3 linked regions of the Schizosaccharomyces pombe genome follow. The protein of the gene in region 1 interacts with the protein of each later gene in a pairwise test. Each region holds a gene or a part of one and is shown in the gene's direction. Other genes may lie near its edges. The genes, in order: dre4, prp19 and saf1.

The links.
Region 2: the proteins of dre4 (region 1) and prp19 interact in binary tests that used the Schizosaccharomyces pombe proteins (3 or more experiments, as listed by UniProt).
Region 3: the proteins of dre4 (region 1) and saf1 interact in a two-hybrid assay, tested with the Schizosaccharomyces pombe proteins (2 studies listed by BioGRID).

The regions. Positions count from the first base shown.
Region 1 is NC_003424.3:424,008-427,918, forward strand, and holds dre4 (splicing-associated factor Dre4), read left to right. Parts: upstream 1-1,970; 5' UTR 1,971-2,022; coding exon 2,023-2,062; exon of another isoform or gene 2,063-2,098; coding exon 2,099-2,315; exon of another isoform or gene 2,316-2,356; coding exon 2,357-3,335; 3' UTR 3,336-3,408; downstream 3,409-3,911. Other genes in the region: pre9 (proteasome core particle subunit alpha 3), read right to left, coding at 470-1,216; nuclear membrane protein Tht1, read left to right, coding at 3,576-3,911. UniProt on the Schizosaccharomyces pombe protein: Component of the spliceosome involved in mRNA processing.
Region 2 is NC_003424.3:5,131,271-5,135,842, forward strand, and holds prp19 (Prp19 complex subunit, ubiquitin-protein ligase E4 Prp19), read left to right. Parts: upstream 1-1,952; 5' UTR 1,953-1,971; coding exon 1,972-2,029; exon of another isoform or gene 2,030-2,069; coding exon 2,070-2,174; intron 2,175-2,513; exon of another isoform or gene 2,514-2,659; coding exon 2,660-3,963; 3' UTR 3,964-4,072; downstream 4,073-4,572. Other genes in the region: RNA polymerase I upstream activation factor complex subunit Rrn5, read right to left, coding at 1-455; rRNA exonuclease Rrp17, read right to left, coding at 970-1,371, 1,419-1,524, 1,565-1,668; srb6 (mediator complex subunit Med22), read right to left, coding at 4,153-4,563. UniProt on the Schizosaccharomyces pombe protein: Probable ubiquitin-protein ligase involved in pre-mRNA splicing. May also function in DNA repair.
Region 3 is NC_003421.2:1,652,065-1,656,094, forward strand, and holds saf1 (splicing-associated factor Saf1), read left to right. Parts: upstream 1-1,783; 5' UTR 1,784-1,811; coding exon 1,812-2,648; 3' UTR 2,649-3,518; downstream 3,519-4,030. Other genes in the region: trm44 (tRNA (uracil-O(2)-)-methyltransferase), read left to right, coding at 1-716; poly(A) polymerase Cid12, read left to right, coding at 3,605-4,030.

The DNA.
Region 1 (3,911 bases):
AATAATACTCATCAAAAAGTTTTCTCTTATTTTTATAAATAGTATAGAATTGGAATATGCTACACCGTTTAAAATCTTCAGTTATGAAAACTAAGCATATAGTTTAGAACATATGAGAGTCATTGACATTCCATTGGAAATACTATAATTTTAAATATGCCGGAATGGTGTACTCAAGTAGAAATTGACGTTATGAAGGGAATGAGAAAGAAAGGTCTAAGTATAAAAGAAACTTGAAAAAAGCCTTTTTTAAAACGGCATAAGAATTCATAAGATAATGATTTAGCGTAGATAAAAAGAAAGCAAGCCTATATTGAGACGGAATAAGGCTCATGATGGAACTTAGTTTGCTTCAAATTGTTTACAAAAACCATGAGCTAATTACAAGGAGATTAAAGGGTAACGACGAAAGCTATAAAAAACAGCTATACACTTAAAGTGTTTTCCCAATGAATTGAGTAAGGCAATATTAAGATTGCCGCTGGGTCTCTTGGTACTTATTGAGCACTTCATTTATTTCATCTGACTTCCATATTTTGCAAACCATTTTGTTTTTCGTGGTATCCTTTGTTATTGTTGCAAATTCAATTTTTTCATGAGTTAGGGAGTTACTGTCCAACGTTTTACTCAAAAATTTCACGGCCATAGCAGAAGCCTCATCTAAGTTTATATCATCCTTATACTCCTGTCGCATTAAGCTTTGAACACTAGTACTATTTCCTCCGATACTATTTGCTTGCCAGCTTCCGTAATTTCCAGATGGATTAGATTGGAATAGCTGATATCCACGAATATGATCCCATCCAGCATATAAGAATGAAACACCGAATGGACGTAGCCCACCATACTGTGTATAACCTTGTTTGAGGTCACAAACGCGACGAACTAATTGCTCACAAGGCATCTCTTCATTAAAAGTCTGCAAGTATTGTTGCCCAACCCTTCTAGCGTAGTTAATTAGGATGTTTGCATCTGCGGTAAGCCCTGCCACAGCACATAACATATTGTCTCCTATATGATATAACTTTTCTGCGGATTCTTCTTGTTCTAATAGTTTGCTGGTAACCTTCTTTTCAGCAGCTAAAACAATTCCATCTTTAGCTACAATCCCTAAAGCAACGCCAGCATGGTTGATCGCTTCCAATGCATATTCAACCTGGTATAAACGACCTTCAGGTGAAAAAATAGTCGTGCGAGAATCGTAGCTTCTTGACATAATGAATTTGGTTGATGACAAGTTCGAAAATGCGCGAAGCACTAGATCACGAACATTAATGAGGTCTACCGAAGTGCGATTACCACACTTGCTTTATTCTTTATGTGCTTACTACACTACTATAACAGGACTGACTTTTACCTGTCTTCTAATACAATTAATCTATTATGATTTAAATTAGTATGTTGTTAATCCGCTTATTTTTACAAGCTATGCTGTACAACAAATGTCTTTATAAATGAGAGCTATTTTTACGATAATCAATTTACCTTTAGTACTTTCATATCCTCAAGATATAAAGTTATCAGTGTAGGTTGCTAATAATTAAAATCTGCTTGTAAAAATATTTGAACCAGAGGAGTCAATACTAGTGTAAAAATGTAGCTGCTTACAAATACTTCCAGCCTGCCGTTTAACGATTTACCACGAGTTATGAATTGCTCGTAAATTTATGCGGGTTGTTGTAAATTGACAATATTAAAATTGAAGTTCTCGAAAATGTTTTATTATATTGTACTTGGTAGACCATTTCATTAACTTCTTATTTGTTCTAAAGGAAATACTTGGGAAGACGCTACGTGCGGTGCTGTTATGAGGTTTTTGTAGTATATTCAATAATGTTAACTACACCTATGAATTTATGCAATTTATACAGATTTTTTTTAATAGTTTGTAGAAATTTTTTTGTAATTGACATAACTATTCAGCTGGATTTTGCAAAACTGTTCTATCTATTCTCACACACACGCCCACTGAATACTACCTAACATAGTGTCGAACTTAACTTCTTGATTGTACATATCTTAATGTCACAGCCTTTGCCTCCTGGATGGACTGAACATAAAGGTAAATTTAATGAGCAGTTTATTTGCTAACTCATAGCACCCAGTGGGATTCCTTATTACTGGAATGCCGAGTTAAAAAAAAGCACTTACCAGCGCCCAAGTTTCATTGAGAAAAACCATTCATCTTCTGTTACTGCTTCGCAAGCTTCTTTGGCGTTTAACACAAGCGAAAAGCTGTTTGTTAATGAAAATGCTGAAGAGCGCAAAAATTCTCGAGATTTGAGGAAACAATTACCGGACAGACCAAAATTCAAGTATGTGAGGCGTAAAATTTTGTTATTAACTTTTTTTTTAGAAAAAGAATTCCTAATAATGATTCATGGGTGGTTGTTTTTACTAAGAAAAATCGGTATTTCTTTCACAATTTAAAAAGCCATGAATCATATTGGGAACCTCCTTTGGAAATTAGTAAAGACTTGAAGATATTACGTCTTCCGATACGGAAGCAAATCAGTAAAGATTCCTCACAGAGTCAGAACGTTGATAGTGGTAAAACCAACCACGAAGAAATACATGAATCTAGGCATTTACAAACAGAGATTGAAGAGCCCTCTGGTTTAGAAGAATCATCGGAGGAATCCGTTTTATATTCTGAAGAATTTTATGAAAAATCTGATGAAGAAGAGGATGAGGAAAAATCACACTCCGCTGAAGAGTTGGAGTTTGGTGAGGAAGATATTATGTATCAACTTCAACAATTGGATGATGAAACAGTTTCCTATGATATACAGGAACAAGCTACAAATTTATCTACTGATGATGCTAGAAGAGTATTTACTGAACTTTTGAAGGACAAAAACATCGGGGCATACCAACCGTGGGAACTAGTTTATCCAAAGTTATTAGACGATGATCGTTTTTACGTATTAGATTCGGGAGAGAGACGAAAAGAGGTGTTTGAGGAATATTGCAAGTCGGTGGTTTCTACCAAAAAAATTACGCGTAGAAAAAATACCTTATCGGATTTTTGGACTTTGCTTCATTCACTTCCATCTACCTTGCTATGGCCTCAATTTAAACGTAAATATAGAAAGTCGTCGACTCTTCAAATTCCAGGATATTCGGAACGTGATTTTGAGAAACTTTTCCGTGAGTTTCAGATTCTACGAAAACAGCCTATGCAGGACAAACTGTTAAATTTTAAAAAGCTATGCAAGTCAAAAACTGTAGATCCTAAAAACCCCGACGAATTCACAGAAAGCATACTTAATGACACACGATATGCCGTACTGACGCGTGAAGAACTGGATTCCTTGGCTTGTTCAAGTAATTAATGAATTTTTTATTAAATAGGTGCTTAGAGAATTTCTCATTTATTAATTTATTTGGAAAAAAATTATTTTTTTTCGCGTACTCTTTTAAGCAAGTAGTTTGTCGACGGGTGAGTTTCTTTGTTTACCATCTACTACAATTATGAAATTTCATCCGACGCGTCCTTTGGGTTATATTTCGAGTTTTTTATTATTATTTCTTTTTTCTTTACTAGTGAGTCTACCGGAGATGTAGAATCATTTATGAAATATTCGAATGTGGCCTTTTCCGAGGGGTTAGCCGGTTTTGATTCTTTAGCTCACGTATATCAAGCACTCTTGAAAAAATCCACTTGCTATCAGGAAGTTGCTGCAACTTTAATTTCCAAATGTAGCTTATTGAATACTGAGTTGACTATCGATAATCGAATTCACTCAGCCATTCAAATGACTCTTTGCGATTTTGAACGGTCTCAAATTTTGGCTCCTTCAGAATGCGTTCGTGGCTCGCAAAGTGAATGTGTATCGAAGTTGGAGTCAACTTCTACCTGGTGGCTTTCATTCACTAGTCACTTTCATGATGTAAATCACTTATGCCGG
Region 2 (4,572 bases), 4.7 Mb from region 1:
CAATTCTGACTCATTTCCATTGCAATAGGTATATCTTCATATTTCAACAAACATTGACTGCGCACGGATGCGTCTACGTGATTACGAAGCCAACGTAGCTCATTCTCTAAGGCATTTATGTAACGCTCGATCTGCACAGCGCTTTTAGAAGGAATGGAGTAAGCTATCAAATCTAAATCTCTTTTCCCATTTCGAGCAACCGCTTGAAAAAACAGTTCTTTTTCTTCTGCACTCCAGTAAGTTCCATCCACACAAGAGCCACTAAGAACGCCCCATTGTTCTTCTTCCAAATCAAAGTCACGCTTATTTTCAGTCTCAACTTCGTATTGTTGAAGGACGTCTAGGTATCGTTCATCATGAGTCATGTACAATTGCTCACTTGAGCCAATGATAGATGCAGTGCTTAAAGGCGTTGACCCTTCACTCTCATTTAATCCGTTTATTGAAGAAGACATGTTATTATTGAGAACATGATCAACGCTAATGAAATAAAAGCTGTTGCAGTCTTCTTTTTAATATTTTTTTGTTTACCACATTACCAGACGTGGTTTGTGTTCTGACAAAGATCAAACTCGGTATTCTAGTGAATTTCGCTAATATACTAAAATCCAAAGGAATATATAAATGTAGAGTATCTCTAAAATTTACGGGTTTTAAACATAATAAAAAAATATAAATCGTGCTAAAATCTAGCTTACCGCTTATTGAGTACAAATTTTTTGCGCATGTACAAACACCTTAATCAAAACTGTGAACAAAAAATTGAAAAAGGCTGAAATGCATATATCAGACCAAGAAAAACTCCGTATATGTAATGATCTCTTGTAAAGTAGTTTGTTAACTTCCAAAAATTCTCAACCTGAAAAACGAATGGACAATTGAATTCAAATATCATTTTATACCAACCATATTCATAAATATAAAAAAAGGGCAAGATGCGTCAAACAACGTGTGCTTGAAGTTCCTAATTTAACGTCTTATTTTCTTCTTTAAACGACGTATTTTTTCTTTTCTTCTGTCCTGTGTACGTTCAAATTTGCTCTCATACCGAAATTTCTTTTTGGCGGCATTTTTAGGCTTGTGGGGACGCAAAGGAACATCTGGTGGAGGAGAAATACGAGGCGTGACAAAACCTTCTTTAGGATAAGCAATTTCTTCATCATCATCGTCCTCTACAATTTCTACCGTAACATGCTTATCATCTTCGTCATACTCAGTAGTTTTAGGCTCCATTGATGACTCTTCCTCGCTGTCAGATTTAGATGAGGAATCTTCTTGCTGTGAAGATTCTTCATCATTTTCTAGCGAGCTATTCAACTCTTTAGAGAATGCTAATCGCTCAGCCAGTTCTCTTTTGCGCTGTTCTCTGAGCTGAATAGTGTTAGTGATATACTCAAGATAGTATTAGAAAAACTTACAGATTTCCTCAACGCTAAACGTTCTTCGCGTTTTTGCTGCTCCAATTGAACTTGAGCATGCTTTCGTCGTTCAACTTTGCGTTTATGAAATCCAGTTAAATACTCTCTGTAACAAGTTAGTAGCAATCCCTTTATGATATCCATACTTTCGCTTCTCTTTATCAAAGACGATCTCCTCCAATCTTTGCTTCTTCCCTTTCTTCCTGCTGTAAATCTCACCTCCACGGGTTAGTAGAGATGTATTATCCATGATGCAACAGTTCGTGAGTAGCTAGAAGAGAGGGACAATTTATGGGAATCTGTAGTGATTTTAAGTAAATTATCTCCAATTCTATCCAGTCTCGTAATGGTCCAGTAGATTTATGAAGACGAGAGGTACTGAAACCCTACTATGCCTTGTACGTACATTTGCACTACTAACTAGAAAATTATTTGCAAAATGCATCGCATTTGCCTTATATTATATACGGATATTGGTATAGTGCAGTAAACGATTAGTTGGCTATGCATTGCTTTCCTCTAGCTATTACACACAGAAACCAACGTGTGCCGAATGTTTTGCTCAATCAGTGGAGAAACGCCAAAAGAACCGGTGATTTCTCGTGTAAGTGGTATGTTTGTACAATAATTTCCCTGTCTGACTGAATGTAGGAAATGTTTACGAGAAGCGCTTGATTGAACAAGTTATTCGTGAAACGTCTAAAGACCCTGTTACTCAACAGGAATGCACGTTGGAGGACTTGGTTCCTGTAAAGGGTAAGATTTCCTTCTTTATTATTGAATGGTTAAGAATTTCAAGTAGCACTTATTTTTTTATACGTGGAGTACTGAATATTCTGAAATTGGTTTGGAAAGTAAAACCCTGCAATATTGGTTGAAGAACTCGTTTATTTTCTTTTTTTTGTTGATAATGTATTTTATTGCATGATTGATTTGTACTCGAAATTTTTTAATTTTACAGCTTTATATTTCTCCTTAAAAAGTGGACTATTTAGTGCATGTCAATATCTCGGGGCAGAAATTAGGAAGGTTTTTAGAGAATTATAGAACAACCTTGTCGGATTTATCAAAACAAATCTTTATCAAAATTAATGTGGAGTTGTTGAGGAAAATGTATTAATACTTTAGATTTTTTTTGGTTTTTGCTCTCCAATGCGATTTATATTTACTATATTTTGATTGTACTGACCATTCACATATAAAGCGAATCAAATCGAAGATAATTGCTAACCTTTAAACAGTACCTGATTTTGTTAGACCTCGACCTCCTTCTGCCACTTCATTGCCTGCATTGCTGTCTCTCTTTCAAGAAGAATGGGATTCTGTCGCGCTTGAGCAATTTGAACTTAGAAGAAATCTTACAGAGACGAAGCAGGAGTTATCAACGGCATTGTATTCGCTAGATGCTGCGTTAAGAGTTATATCTCGGCTTACCAAAGAAAGAGACGAAGCTAGAGAAGCATTGGCGAAATTTTCCGATAACATAGGCACTGTTTCCTCGAAAACTATTGAAGTACAAGAGGTAGAGATGGGCGAAAGTGATGACCAGCTTAAAACTAGCTTACGCTCTACGGTGGAAAAAACATTTCAAGAACTTTCTTCCAAAAGGAAACGTACAAAGTTACAACCTAAATGGGCGACTGACGATGCTGTGAGTCAGCTCTTGCAAGCTACTCCTTCTACTATCTTAGAAAATTTGGAAACAGAAAGCACTACGTCTTTCTTCCCGTCCCCTGAAAATTCTTCTTTTGTATTATGTCTTCATAAGGATGAACTTTTATGTCTAGATATCCAATCCAACAGTACTCTCAAAATTTTTGAAGGATCAGCTTTAGCGTGTTGTTGGTTGACTTCTTCCAAGATTGCTGTCGCTACTGCTGATGCCATTTCAATTTTTGAATTTCCTGTTTCCTCATCTGGTTTACAAAGTGTGGGTGAACCTACTTCGTCCATTCCTATAGACGAAAAGGTGAACTTCCTTCAAGCTCATCCAAGTGGGGAATATTTATTAGCAGCATCAAACGAAAAGTGTTATATTTTCTCCCTGAAATCCCAGGTTTATAATATCACCGTTGCTCAACACATTACATCTCTTGCTGTACATCCGGACGGTAACCTCTTTGTCGCTGGGTTAGAGAATGGCGAGTTACGCTTTTTTGAGACTTCCTCGGGAAATGAGCTTACAAAATTTGGACCACATTCAAGTCCAGTTAAAACATTACAATTTGGTGAAAACGGTTATTGGCTTGTAGTAACAACTAATGATGACTCTGACATTTTCATTTGGGACTTAAGAAAATCTGAGCTTGTTCAAAAAATACCCCTACAAACCAAAGTCGCAGCAGTGTCATTAGATATTACTAGTCAACTTTTGGTAAGTTCGGATGGGGAGACTCTCTATGTACATATTTATGTCAAATCTTCAAAGTCTTGGAGATGTATGAGTCAAACCCATGTTTCCTCTATTTCTAATTTGGTTTGGTTAAATGAGTTACACCAGTTGTTGTTTAGTACTTCAAATGGAGCCATTCTCCGGTTGGGTTAACCCAATTTTTAATCCTTTAATTATGTGCTCCTCCATTAGGCTTTTCGTATTTAGTAAGATTTTGGCTCTTTAACTTAAGTGATTTCCTTCATAATGAAATATTTAGGCAAACTATTATTTTTCAGATAGATGTATCATTAAATTTTGACATTTGGTTTAATTGGCAAAAAATAATTTATGTGAGTTAACTCAAGTGTCAGAAACAGTGGGAGCCTCAGTTGTTTCTGATGCTTCTGGTTCAATTAAACTGACTTCCAGTAAATGATTTTGTAGTTTAGTAAGAGTTCTTTTAACTTTCTCAAGATCAGGCTCGCTGTAATCGACAGTCGGAAAAGACGTGGAAAGAGAATTAGTGAGCCAATATGATTTAATTTGTCGAGAAACATCCAGTAACTGTTCTACCGCGCGAACCATGGACACAGTATGGCATTCAATCTGGTAAACCTCTGGTGCTACCGTATATTTATCTTTGCCTTCATTTATAGCAATATCCAGTATGTCTTGAAACCTTGACAAAATAGTTAGTGTAGCATTGTCAATAGACGAATTTAAAGTATTAGTTCGCTGAACTAGCTGCCGTTGGAAACTGTCTGAAGACATACTAGCTTT
Region 3 (4,030 bases), on another chromosome or scaffold:
AATTGTGGAAACAAACTTATTCATCAAACAAAGAATTTAGTTTTGTTGATGTTGGTTGCGGAAATGGTTTACTTGTTTATCTGTTGTTAATGGAGGGCTATAATGGATATGGCTTCGACGCTAGAAAAAGAAAATCATGGGAGACATATCCCCTTTGGGTTCAAGTAAAGTTATACGAAAAAGTTCTTGTACCCTATTTTCTGCATGATTTTGAAACAAAGATTCCATTTCCTCAGCTGCCTGCCGGTTTCACTATGTCCGCTGCAAACATTCATGACGGTCGATTTTCTGAAAACTCATTCCTTATCGGAAACCATGCGGATGAATTGACTCCTTATCTTCCCATTTTAGCAAGATTAAATCAGAAATGCTATTTCATGTCGATTCCTTGTTGCGTTCATGATCTGACAGGTGCTAAAATTTCCTGGGCATTACCGAAACCTCGAAATCCCAAACATGGAGGAAGATACGCCATGTACATTGAATGGCTCATGCAGCTGTCAGAGGAGGTAGGTTGGAATATCGAGGTTGAACCACTACGCATTCCTAGCACCAGAAATTACGCTCTTATAGGTAGAAAATTACTATCGAATGATCTGCTGCACTCCAGTTTAAGCACCGATGCTTTGTACGACATCGTAGAAAAAAATCATGGCTCACAAGGGTTTTTTGTCCATGCTATGCAAGTTGCAGCGGCTAATTCTCGGTCTCATTAGTTCAAAAAATTTCCATTTTTTTAATATATAGAATTCTGCCATACGGACAAAGTTCGATAGTTGCCCTTGATTCGCTTACTCAACTTTAAATGCTTTAAAGTTCGTTAGTTGAGTGACTGCTTTTTAGATGTTTATAGTCCCAAATGATGGCTTGTTTTTCTTACTACTAACACCATCCTCTGAAATTGATATAGTTCGTGTGCTGGTAATCTCTTACTGGCCGTTCGATGACTATCGGTTATTGGATTCGGTGAAGATGGAACAGCCATTGTATCTGCCAAGCTTACGGATTTCCGGATGAGGAACTTGGTTCGTAAAAATGGCAAAATTGTTTGTTCTCTTATCGATCAAGATTTAATGGTTAATAAAATGCTTTCATGTTTACAAGAAAATAAAACTATATGTGATTGGTTCATAAACGCGTTTGTAATGTAGATGGTTGTCAATATGTTTTTGATTAGCGTAAAACCTATCAATTGTTGTAACGTAAACTGTTGATTTTGGGTCTACTAATAAGTGACATAGAAGAATTTAATTATTTTCAACGAACTTTGCTACTGTTTGTTGAATCCACGACTATAAATCACCTTCCATCATAAATGTTCCCTCTACTAAGCAGTAATTCATTTTTTAAACGGGAAGTCAAGCTGAAAAATATCACTAAAATAAGGAGTATGCATATTTCAAATATTTGACAATTGCCAAGTTCAATGAGTAAGTACTTTTTCTTAAATAGCCAACTCTTACATGTCAAAAATGGAAGCCTTGAAATGCAAGGCCAGAAAAATAATTACGTTTTAAAGCCCAATTCTACTAAATGATTGCTAATACAGTAGAATATACTTAAACGAAAAGATTCTGAAATTCCATCATTGACTCATACTCTATATACACAATTAATTACCAGCCTATTAACTTTAGTTTTTAGCTCATCAACTTCAACATTACTAATTATTCTTTATTTAAATTTAATGTAAACGGTCGATTACTCAAACCAATTTAATACTATTCTTTGTCTATTTGCCTAAATATTTTATACATGTCACGTTTTTGATCACCACCATTCTAAACCCATACTATACTTGACTCTACAGAATGCTGTCAAAACGGGGATTAAATCCCGTTCAAGCGGAGAGCAGAAAGAAGAAAAAAAGAGAACAAATTAAAGTGCGAGAAGAAAGAGCAAAACGCCATGAAGAACGACTGTCGCATAGGAATATGAGCCAAATGGAACGCCAATTATCAGAGCTGACACAATTAGAATCTTCGCAAGCTTTAAATGCACATGACAAGCAATTATTACAAAATTTGCAAAGAGATATGGCAATTATGAAGAAGAAAAACATTCATGGACATAGAGTTGGGCGTGTTGAGTCAGACAAGACTAAGGAGGCAGAACGTCAACATAAACCTAGAAAGCCTTTTATCCCTAAAAACCCAAAACGAAGTATATATTATGATCCAATATTTAATCCTTACGGAGTTCCGCCGCCAGGAATGCCTTATCGTGAGAAGGAAGAACTAAGTTCAGAAACAGATGAATCCGTTATTGATATACCTTTACCTTCTGAAGAATATCCTTTTGAGGATCCAAAGCCAAGGGAAAAGAAAAATAAGAGCTTTAAGCCAAAGCACCACAAAAAGCAAGACATAAATGCAAGTTCAGCACAACCAAAATCCACTACTACGACAGAAGCTGCTGCAAATACGAAGGACATTGAAGAGGAAACTATGATTGAGTACTCAGCTCAGCCGGTAGTCAGAGATTTACGACAAGAAGCTGCTCAATTTTTACCTGCTGCGTTTCAACGACAAAAACTAGCCAAGGGGCAGAAAATTGGACAGCCAGACAGGGATGTATCGAGCCAAGTTCAGGAAGACAAGGATGAAGAAATAGATAATTTCTACAAAGAAATTGGCGGATATCTATAAAAAAGTCGTTAAAATTATGGAGATTGGAAGTAAGGATTACCAAATGGGTGTAGACGGAATTTTTAGTTAATAAACATGCATATTAATTTATATATAATATCTGTTTACTAGGTTCAATTTTAAAGGAGCTTGATTGCATCTCTGTACTTGTTTTTTTGTTTTATTCAATTATGAGTGAGCTTTCATAAGTTAATTCAAAGGCTTATTATTATGATGCGGTCAATAATTTCAAATTTTTGATGTCCAAAAAAAACAAAGGAGATTTTGTTTCTGTGTTATTGCATGATATTTATTAATGTTTTCTTGGTTCAATAATTCCTTATTATAGTCACTTTTACACTGCTTGAGCGAAAGGGGATTTCAAAAAAACACCTTATATTCATCTTTCCGTGATTATTTCAAGTTGACTGTTTTTTGTGAATTTGTCTTTTGCTAAATTATGATTGTTACACTTAGTCCTACACTGTTCATTACGAATCAGATTACCAAAAAGAAAGAAGTACATGACTAATTACTTGGATTAATTTTATTTTATTTTCATATGTATTTAGACGCCATGACAGTATTTACATGCGTAAACCAACGAATTCGTTTATCAAATAAAAATATCATAAAGGAAACCTTTAAAAATCGAAATACACATGCTTAAGTTAAAATTTGCACAATGAGAGATGAGGGAGTACTTATCTATCTTTTGCTTGCTTTTCTTGGGTTCATAATCTTTGGTTTTCGCTATAAATGCTGTATGAGACTAGGAAGCTTTTGCAGTCAATCATTCTATTATTTATAAAAACAAATAAGTTATTTATTGATTAAAAACTCGTGATACTTTTTTTTGCTATAAAATGATTTATTTACATATAATTACAAGGCACTCGCACGACCTCGTTATGTGCGAGGAGCCATGAAATTGAATCCATTGATATTAAAATTAGCCAAAATGCCATTTCTTAAGAATGGGTAAAGTCCTGTTAGAGCTGCATTCAGTACCATGGAATGAAGAAGGTTTGAGTGATAATGCTCGACTTTATTCATTTTTGGAGTTCGTAAGCCCGAAAATCGAGGAATTGAAGTACAGAAAGCTTTTGTTAGAGAAACTACAGACTCACATTAGGGAGGTCGTTTTGGATGCTGAACTTCAAGTATACGGTAGCATGTATATTGGAACAACATTATCTATAAGTGATGTAGACGTATCTTTGAAGTCACCTCGAGTTGGAGAATTGGAGAAACGACGCGTCACCATGGTTTTAAGAAAGTACTTGGATGCTGATGCTGATTTCCATTCTAGTGCCAGAGTCCCTCGCATCAATTTAGTAGATGTTAGTGGAATTGGGGTGGATTTGACGTTTGGAAATGACAAAGCTTGCAGAACTGCTGAA